Linked DNA regions of Arabidopsis thaliana. The protein of the gene in region 1 interacts with the protein of each later gene in a pairwise test. Each region holds a gene or a part of one and is shown on either strand. Other genes may lie near its edges. The genes, in order: ESP and WRKY53.

The links.
Region 2: the proteins of ESP (region 1) and WRKY53 interact in binary tests that used the Arabidopsis thaliana proteins (3 or more experiments, as listed by UniProt).

Annotation. Positions count from the first base shown.
Region 1 is NC_003070.9:20,170,058-20,175,905, reverse strand, and holds ESP (epithiospecifier protein), read left to right. Parts: upstream 1-1,956; 5' UTR 1,957-2,020; coding exon 2,021-2,053; exon of another isoform or gene 2,054-2,148; coding exon of another isoform or gene 2,149-2,163; intron 2,164-3,541; exon of another isoform or gene 3,542-3,918; coding exon 3,919-4,911; 3' UTR 4,912-5,191; downstream 5,192-5,848. UniProt on the Arabidopsis thaliana protein: Specifier protein that contributes to constitutive and herbivore-induced simple nitrile formation. Converts glucosinolates both to epithionitriles and to simple nitriles in the presence of myrosinase.
Region 2 is NC_003075.7:12,391,841-12,395,864, reverse strand, and holds WRKY53 (WRKY family transcription factor), read left to right. Parts: upstream 1-1,882; 5' UTR 1,883-2,125; coding exon 2,126-2,529; intron 2,530-2,628; coding exon 2,629-3,199; 3' UTR 3,200-3,348; coding exon of another isoform or gene 3,349-3,465; 3' UTR 3,466-3,495; downstream 3,496-4,024. Other genes in the region: 3xHMG-box2 (HMG (high mobility group) box protein), read right to left, coding at 3,349-3,465, 3,556-3,640, 3,713-3,798, 3,887-4,024. UniProt on the Arabidopsis thaliana protein: Transcription factor. Interacts specifically with the W box (5'-(T)TGAC[CT]-3'), a frequently occurring elicitor-responsive cis-acting element. May regulate the early events of leaf senescence. Negatively regulates the expression of ESR/ESP.

The DNA.
Region 1 (5,848 bases):
TTCATACTGTAAAACATATGCAGTACTTTCAAAGAAATTTCAAAACATTTTTGTTTTATCATTGTCTTGTTAAATGTTCTTCAATACTAAAATAATGTAGAGTAAATTTGGAAAAATGCATTGTTTATGTTTATACTTTTGAAAAATATCCTCTTAATGTTTATACTACTAAATCTTATTTATTTATGAAAAAATTTCAAATTAAGCAACGTTTTCTTATATTTTTTTTACATTAAAAAAAAATTCTTTCAAAAGTATAATATGTTAGGTCACATTTTAAAAGTTTGCCTTAAGCGACAATGGACCTTGGCACGGCACCGAGATTCATTGATGCAATACAGAAAATTTTGATAAAGATACTAAACTATGATAAAATGTTGCACGTTAATTTGTGGGAAATGAGTAGTTGCAATAAAAGATATATTTTCCAAAGTATATATAGTTAAAACTGTGAAGATTGTCATTTATACGTGAAAACGTGCAAAACTAATAATTGCGATAAAGACAAAAACCGAAATATGTAGTTGGGATTAAATAACAACTCTTAGTTTATTTTATTTGTTTGTCTAATATTTAATTTTATTTATGTGTTGTATGCATATGACATAATGATTGGCTTAAATTAAAATGGGTGAACTTAAAACTTATCCTTATATAAATCAAAGTCCCTATGACCATTTACGACATTTCACGCTTAATATGTTGTCGGTTGAATAGTTAGAATGTGGGAGTACACACCGAAATACACACCGTTAGGCATGACTACAGTTACGGTTATTACGATTACGGTTTATTAACCACCGGTTATGGTTATAATTTTTTTTTAACTTTAATTTTAACCGTTATATATACGGTTAAAACGATTACGATTAAATACGGTTACGGTTAAATACGGTTATAGTTACATACGGTTACGGTTATTTGATAATTATGATATAGTTAATATATAAGACAAAATATTATATTTTTTAAACTTTATAATAAAATAAATAAATAGTGATATATCAAATAATATTTATTTTACGTGATTTTGTGTTTCAAATATTTATAGTGAATCAGTTATCTATTTTTCTTTAAGTAAACCAATGAATAAAAAAATTAATGATCATAATTATAATGATTGAATTAATTACATTTTCCAAACAAAAACAATACTAATGAGAAGATGTTGTGAACATTAAGAAACAGTTTCAAGAGTATAAATAATAATAATATGAACTACTTATAATTTGATTTATGGTAAAAAGAGTAGTGGAGTAACTTCGATCATAGTAGTGGACATATTAAACAATTTAAGTTACTATTTTAGTGAAATAATTATTTATTTATACACTATTATAACTATATTTTAAGGTTTTGAAAATACGATTAACCGTACGGTTTTGATACGGTTACGGTTAATTAACGGTTACAGTTAGTATATTTTCTTAACCGTAACAGATCTATTTTCACTGTTAACGGTTACGGTTATTAACCGTTTTATACGGTTACGGTTGGGTTACGGTTAATAAACGGTTCGGTTACGGTCCAAAATACCGTTACAGTTAGATTTTGGTTATGCCTACACACCGTAACGACTATTTTTCTCGAAAATTTACTTTTAATGTTTGATGAGAAGGTATTATTGTACAATTATAAATTTTAATATAATTTTCGTTTCGATACACAATATAATCTCCACCAAAATCTTTTTCATCATGGCTATAATTTAGTTTATAATTTTACTTACAAGAAATGTTTAATTGATATCTTGAGTCAAGATGAGTCTAATTAACTTTATAACTATATAAGATGCATCTAATATGTTATATAAAAAAAACACAACAAATGAACATAACTAAAAGAAAATCAAACATAACTTGTTAAAGTACTGTTTTAAAATAAAACGGGTGGGTACTCACCTAATTATTTTAAACCTACTCTTGACACTAAACTGGCCTATAAATAGAACACCATGGAAAGGAAAAGAGACACACACAAATAAAGAAAACGAAAACACTTTTATACTTATATTGCAGCCATGGCTCCGACTTTGCAAGGCCAGTGGATCAAGATATTTTAATTAGTTAATTAAAGTTTCAATTCAAATAAGTCCCTTCTCCGATGTGGTGCTCGAATTTGGGACCTCCATACTTTTCATATGAGTAGATGGAGGTTAAGCCGGTAGAACTACATACCAACGCCCGGATTATTCTATTTAAATTGATAATTCAACTTTTCGAAAGTTCATAATTTTGTACAAAAGACATTATCTAGGTTAACTTGGTTATTGCCAGTTTGCCACTAAATAACAGTACGTAGTATTCTATCACAAAGGCTAAATAATAGTACGTATATATCATCACGAAGGCTGAATATTGTTGATAGTCGTTACTTGTTTTTTTTTTGATAAGCTATAATATAACTTTTATATGCTTTCCAAGTTAGATCATGGTATTGATTAAAGAGATAATTAAGGATCGGATATCTGAATAAATATTTCTTTAAAATTAAAATTACCAATCATGTATATTCAAACCCTCATACAGATCGGTTTAAATTCGAATTTATTATTGCAATAGACATATTTTTAACAACATGTAATGTTATTTAAATTATTATTTAGAACAAGATTAGTATATAATATAGTTTTTCAACTTTAGACTTATCTTATAGTTATATATTTCTAAATTTTATGTTGATTGGATATGAATATTTTAGATTTGGAAGTTTGAATTTTATGTTATTACTTTTAAGAGAATACCATTATTGTTATATTAATGCTTTAAAATTTTGAATTAGATTCTTATAATTTTATGTTATATTTGTTGGTAAACATATTTTAAAGAATCTACTGTACTTTGTTTTGGGGTCAAGTACGGAAATTAAATTTTAGATATTTGAGTATTCAGTGTTTTAGAAATTTAGTGTTCATAGACGTAAGAGGAAAAGTTGATGATACTTGAATTAAGTAGAACACCTAAGCATAGTATTTAAAAGGTTTCCATATAGTTGACCAAAAAATTGAAACTTCTATTTTTAATCATTAATAATTCTATTTAGTACTGTGCACAGCCATTAACTAATAAGCGTTGAATCTAGTTTTTTTAATATAACATCTATATATACATTTTTGCAGCTATTTTATCAAATAAATTTTAGAGTTGGACTTATTTACAACTCAATGTCATTAGCATTAAATATTTTTTCCAAAATAATTAATTTTACATTAAATTTTTAATTTAAATTGTCAATCACATTATCAATCAAATTTAATCCAAACAAACTTCACATCAATCCCTTAAAATTAGCATAAACTTCACATTAATTATTTAGACATGAAAATATTTATTTAAAGATTTAAATCTTCTAAATTTTTGCTTTTAGAGTTATTATATCATTACCTAAAAGGCAAAAAATATTAATTTTTTAAAATATTATTATTTGTATATTTAAACTTCATAAAACATTATTAATATTTGAATTTATAAAAAGTTTAATCTATCAAAAATAATTAACATCATTATATAATATATAGAGTTTAAAAAGATCTCAAAAAAAAATTCGTCATATTTTGTGATTCGAAATTTTAAGAATGAACATATATTAACCAATTGGCGAAAAATATGTGGGTTCAACGTCCCGCAACGACTAAAATATTTTGACAATGATTCATAAACATATTATAAATAAGATCAATATTAATAAAGTAAATAGTTTTTTTTTTTGGACGGGTTTGGCAGGACGGGTTTGACAGAACGTTACTTAGTAACAATGGTAAACTATAAAATAATTTACAGATTTTTATATATATTAATTTTAAAAAATGAATTGTCTCCGCGGTGTACCGCGGATTAAAATCTAGTGTTACATAATTATCAAAGGAAATTAAAGAAACACATGCATTATCATCGTATGATTTATGTTGGTGATAAATAGGTGGGGCAGAAAGGAGGAACGGGACCAGGACCTAGAAGTTCACACGGCATAGCCGCGGTCGGAGACAAGCTCTACAGTTTCGGCGGCGAGTTAACACCAAACAAACACATCGACAAAGACCTCTACGTCTTTGACTTCAACACTCAAACTTGGTCAATCGCTCAACCCAAAGGAGACGCCCCAACTGTATCCTGCTTAGGCGTGCGCATGGTGGCCGTGGGAACTAAGATCTATATCTTTGGAGGCCGCGATGAGAACCGCAACTTCGAAAACTTTCGCTCCTACGATACGGTGACATCCGAGTGGACATTCCTGACGAAGCTTGATGAGGTGGGAGGACCCGAGGCTCGTACTTTCCATTCGATGGCTTCGGATGAAAACCATGTGTATGTATTCGGTGGGGTGAGCAAAGGCGGTACTATGAATACTCCCACGCGGTTCAGGACAATCGAGGCGTATAACATTGCTGATGGGAAATGGGCTCAGCTACCGGATCCAGGAGATAACTTCGAGAAAAGAGGAGGAGCGGGATTCGCTGTGGTACAAGGGAAGATTTGGGTGGTTTATGGGTTTGCGACCTCGATTGTGCCCGGAGGCAAAGATGACTATGAGTCTAATGCTGTGCAATTCTATGATCCGGCTTCCAAAAAGTGGACCGAAGTAGAGACTACAGGAGCGAAACCTTCCGCAAGGAGCGTGTTTGCCCATGCGGTAGTGGGAAAGTATATAATAATATTTGCAGGTGAGGTATGGCCTGATCTCAATGGGCATTATGGTCCCGGGACGCTGTCCAATGAGGGATATGCGTTGGACACCGAGACACTGGTGTGGGAAAAGTTGGGAGAAGAAGGTGCACCAGCCATACCACGAGGTTGGACTGCCTATACTGCTGCCACTGTCGATGGAAAGAATGGCCTCCTCATGCATGGCGGAAAGCTTCCGACCAACGAGCGAACTGATGATCTCTACTTCTATGCGGTCAATTCAGCTTAATGCGTGTCAAGATTTGTGTTGTGTGTGTGGCTCGTTAATATTTATTACTATCCAATAAGGAGCCCTAATGGTTTGCTGTATTATTACAAATTATCTGTGTGTGGGACTCGTCGAGCTTTTTTACTCTAATGAGGCCTACTCATGGTTGTGTGAGTGGTTCCTTAAGTATCATTGTCCAATAAGGAGCCAATTTATTTATGGCTGGCTGTTTTATTACAAATTATGTGTATGTGTTAATAATTAAAGATTGAATTATCTACAACTTTATCGTATTATCATTTATTTTCTCTCAATGGTTTTAACTTTTAAGTCTTAACATATACCGTAGCATGAAATTTGTGACTACGAGTTTGGGTAGAGGTGCGGGATTCCTTGTGGCGCAAGTCATGATTTGGGTGGTTTATGGGTTTGTGACTTCAAGTTTGCCTGGAGGGAAAAGTGACTACGAGTCTAATGCTGTGCAATTCTTGGATCCCGCTTTTGGAAAGTTGACAGACACAGAAGTAGAGAGTACGGGAGCAAAGCCTTCAGCAATGAGCGTGTTTGCATATGCAACAGCGGGAAAACATATAATAATATTTGGAGGTGAGATCTGGCGAGACCCAAAGGCACATTAAGGTCCAGCCGTCCAGGGACGTTGTCTACCGAAGGTGATGCGTTGAACACTGAGACAAGTCTGGGAGAAGTTTGGAGGAGGAAATGAACCGGAGATGCCACGTGGTTGGACCACCTACACCCAGTGCCGGCTCATACCATTTATGTGCCTTATAGCAAAAAATTTAAACATATATATTTTGTGTCTCTTTTGCATGTATAATTTTTTTTTTGTACCTCTTTGGTATATACAAAAAAAAATATTGTGCTCATTTTTTTTTTTTAAAGAAAATTTCCCGGATATAGGGCGGTCGCATTGTCCGCCTTTTTACTTAACCCGGCA
Region 2 (4,024 bases), on another chromosome or scaffold:
TTTTTTGGAATTACGTTTTTTCTACGTTGAAGTGATTTTTTTTCCTTTTGTAAAAGGCCTACGTTGAAGTAAAATTACATAAATAAATGTATGTTATGAATATCGACCCAAAAAACAAATTATTTCTACACTATACTTTGCGCAAATCAAATCTATCGAAAACGATTTTGGTAATCCCATTCCCATGAGTGAGTTTTGACCCAAAACAAATTTAAAAAAGTAACCATTTCATTAGTAAAACGGTAAATATGGTTCATAAACCTTTTAGTGGTTATTGGTCCTGTACACTACACTCGTGTGTGTCAACTTCAGCTATGAGATTTTTGCTGTAACTTTTTGGATAACGGTTCAATTATTACAAAGGTTATTTCTTACGTATGAGAGGTCCAAATTACAATTGAATAATATTTGATGACATACAAAGTTAAAAAGGATTAATCATAAGAAATGAATGTTGGAATGGAATGCATCTATCGATCTGACTACTTTAGATAGCTTGATGTTGGACTTAGTCAGCAAAGACCTTATCATACTCTTGTTGTATTGTATATATCGTATCACACAGTGACTGGTTTTTTCTACTTTTCTCTTTGGAACATATCAATCATTATGTATAAATAAATTTTGTCCAAATTAATGGCCATTTGTCTCAACCATAAATAAATATTTATTCACACACCTATATGACTATTTGAGATAATTCCATGGTGACTTGGTCAGCAAAAACCTTGTCATACTCTTGGTGTATTATCACATAACTTTGTAGATTATATTCTTATGGAACATATCATATATATTTGTCCAAATTAAACCCATTTGTATTATTTTCCCCTCTCGAGTTTAATATTTCTTATTTAGAAACAGTTAACAACTTGACATAGCTCACATAATCACTCACAGACTATATATGTATAAGCAACTACCATTTTAAATATTATTTAGTTATATTGTTAGACTGCAACTATTATTTATTTTCTTTGCCAAACAAATTTATATTTTTTCATGTTAATACAATATTATATCTTGAACAAATGTATGCTTAAATATATTGACACAAAACAAAAACATATAGGGGTTTTTAGGAAGAAATTTTGTACAGATTAATTAATCCTCATCAGATTTTTATTTTATATCTTATTTTTAGAAGTGTATGATTTTAAAACTAGAACAATCAAATCTTAGTAAATTTCATTCAACATAATTTTTATGTTATTGCTAATCTATTGAATGTTAATAAGAATTGTATTATACCAAATTACCAATATGTGTTTTGATACTTGTACTTAAAACAGAATGTGGAATATCCTTTCCCTTATTAATGATATTAAACATCATTACAATTCATAGTTATAGCAATGAAATATTATCCATAGAAAGGTTGTTGCATAATGCATACTAGTAAAGCATCAACCAACATATTTTGAAAATATTCTTAATCAAATAAAAAACATATATTGGAAATTCTTTAACAGTAGAAAAAAACATATAATAATAGAGAATCTTAATCACATGTACAAAGTCGTAGTTTTGAAAGTGTACATTGAAAGAGACAGTTGTATAACCCTTTGTTGTCTAATTATATAATTAACCCACTATAGTTAAATAAATGATAAACTTGGTTACAACTACATTAACAAAATTGAAATGTTGAATTGGTCAGCCTTTGACCTTATACTCTTTCACTACCACCACCCCACTTATCAATTACACTCTGGCCCTATACTTCCTTATACCAAAGACTTTTCTTCAATTTGAAAGTTTTGTCTCTCTTTTAAAAAGAAATAAAATAATTATTTATGGTTTGGTCATTTGGTCAAATTTTCAAACACTGAAAATCCAATGCCTTTATATACCAAACCAACACTCATCCATTTTTATCACCAATCCTATAACACTCTCATTCTCATCATATCATTCTTCAATCTATATAACCCATTCTTAATTATACTCAACACACATTATATTTTTCTGATCATATCATTCTTTCAGTCCATCTATATAACCAATTCTTGATTTATACTTAAAACACACATTATACATCTTTCTCATCATAGTTTGTATCAATTTCCTAGAGTAAACTACCTAAAGGAAAAAAAAAATCTATTTTGGGAATCATATACTAAAAATGGAAGGAAGAGATATGTTAAGTTGGGAGCAAAAGACATTGCTAAGCGAGCTTATCAATGGATTTGATGCGGCCAAAAAGCTTCAGGCACGACTTAGAGAAGCTCCGTCGCCGTCGTCATCATTTTCATCACCGGCGACGGCTGTTGCTGAGACTAACGAGATTCTGGTGAAGCAGATAGTTTCTTCCTACGAGAGATCTCTTCTTCTGCTAAACTGGTCATCCTCACCGAGCGTACAACTTATTCCGACGCCGGTTACTGTAGTCCCGGTGGCAAATCCCGGCAGTGTTCCAGAATCTCCGGCATCGATAAACGGAAGTCCGAGAAGTGAAGAGTTTGCCGATGGAGGAGGTTCTAGCGAGAGTCATCATCGCCAAGATTACATTTTCAATTCAAAGAAAAGGTAACAAATTGTTGATATCTTTTTTCACAATTCACCAAATTGAATTTAAAAATCTCATTTTTTCTAGAAACTAATTTGAAATTTGGGTAATTTTTGCAGAAAGATGTTACCAAAGTGGTCAGAAAAAGTGAGAATAAGCCCAGAGAGAGGCTTAGAAGGACCTCAAGATGATGTCTTTAGCTGGAGAAAATATGGTCAAAAAGACATTTTAGGCGCCAAATTCCCAAGGAGTTATTACAGATGCACACATCGTAGCACACAAAACTGTTGGGCAACGAAACAAGTCCAGAGATCAGACGGGGATGCTACGGTTTTCGAAGTGACGTACAGAGGAACACACACTTGTTCGCAGGCGATCACAAGAACACCACCATTAGCCTCGCCGGAGAAGCGACAAGACACCAGAGTCAAACCAGCCATTACCCAAAAGCCAAAGGATATTCTCGAGAGTCTTAAATCCAACTTAACCGTTCGAACCGATGGGCTTGATGATGGTAAAGACGTTTTCTCGTTCCCTGATACGCCGCCGTTTTACAATTACGGAACTATCAACGGCGAGTTCGGCCACGTGGAGAGTTCTCCGATCTTCGACGTTGTTGACTGGTTCAATCCAACGGTCGAGATTGACACAACTTTCCCCGCGTTTTTACACGAGTCGATTTATTATTAATTAAAATTTGTAACAGAGAAATAGATAGTAACTAGTAAGTAATGATCAGCGAGAGTTAAAACATAAAAGTACTTAGAGTAATCTAACGATGCATAATAAGGAATGTTCAACAGGACTTGAACATGATTTCAATACTAAGAGAGATTTATCTAGCTACTGGTAGTAGCCGCAGACTTCTTGTTGTAAGCTTCCACTTCCTTTTTGTATGCTTCCATCAGTTTTGCGGCCTTTCCGTTGTAAACTTGCTTCTCTTCTTCACTCAATTCCTGCAAAGACGTATTCGCACAGATAGATTAACAACAGGAAATTGTTACAAGCCAATGTGTTTTGTTGCTAGTAATTGTGATTTTTCATACCTTCCATTTCAGTGAAATGAGAGCAGTAACAGTAGCGTTGTTTGTCCCGGGACGTTCTTCTGTCAATTTCTTCCTTTCGTCCTTGCTGTAAAAACATGATAAGTTAGGAACTTTCTATAAAGACCAATTCGGATTATAACTTGAAGTAAGTTCATACCTGAAGAGAAAGTATGAAGAAGCAGGCTTCTTTGGTTTGTTAGGGTCAACGTTTTCGTTCTTCTTCTTCTTGGTCGCCTTCTCCTTCTGCAAGAGACAAATAATTATGATCCTGTGAGTCTCTGAGTTGAAATAGACCTTGGTGAGTTAAGTGTGAGTGAGAGAGAGTTATTACCTTGATCAGATTATCAGTTTTCTCCTTCTTCTTAAGCATTTGAAGAGCTTCTTGTTTGTGGAGTTTCAAGAGTTCCTCTTCTTCTTTCTTCTGACTCAGGGCTTCTTCTTCCTTTGTCCTCTTGTATTCCTCCATTGC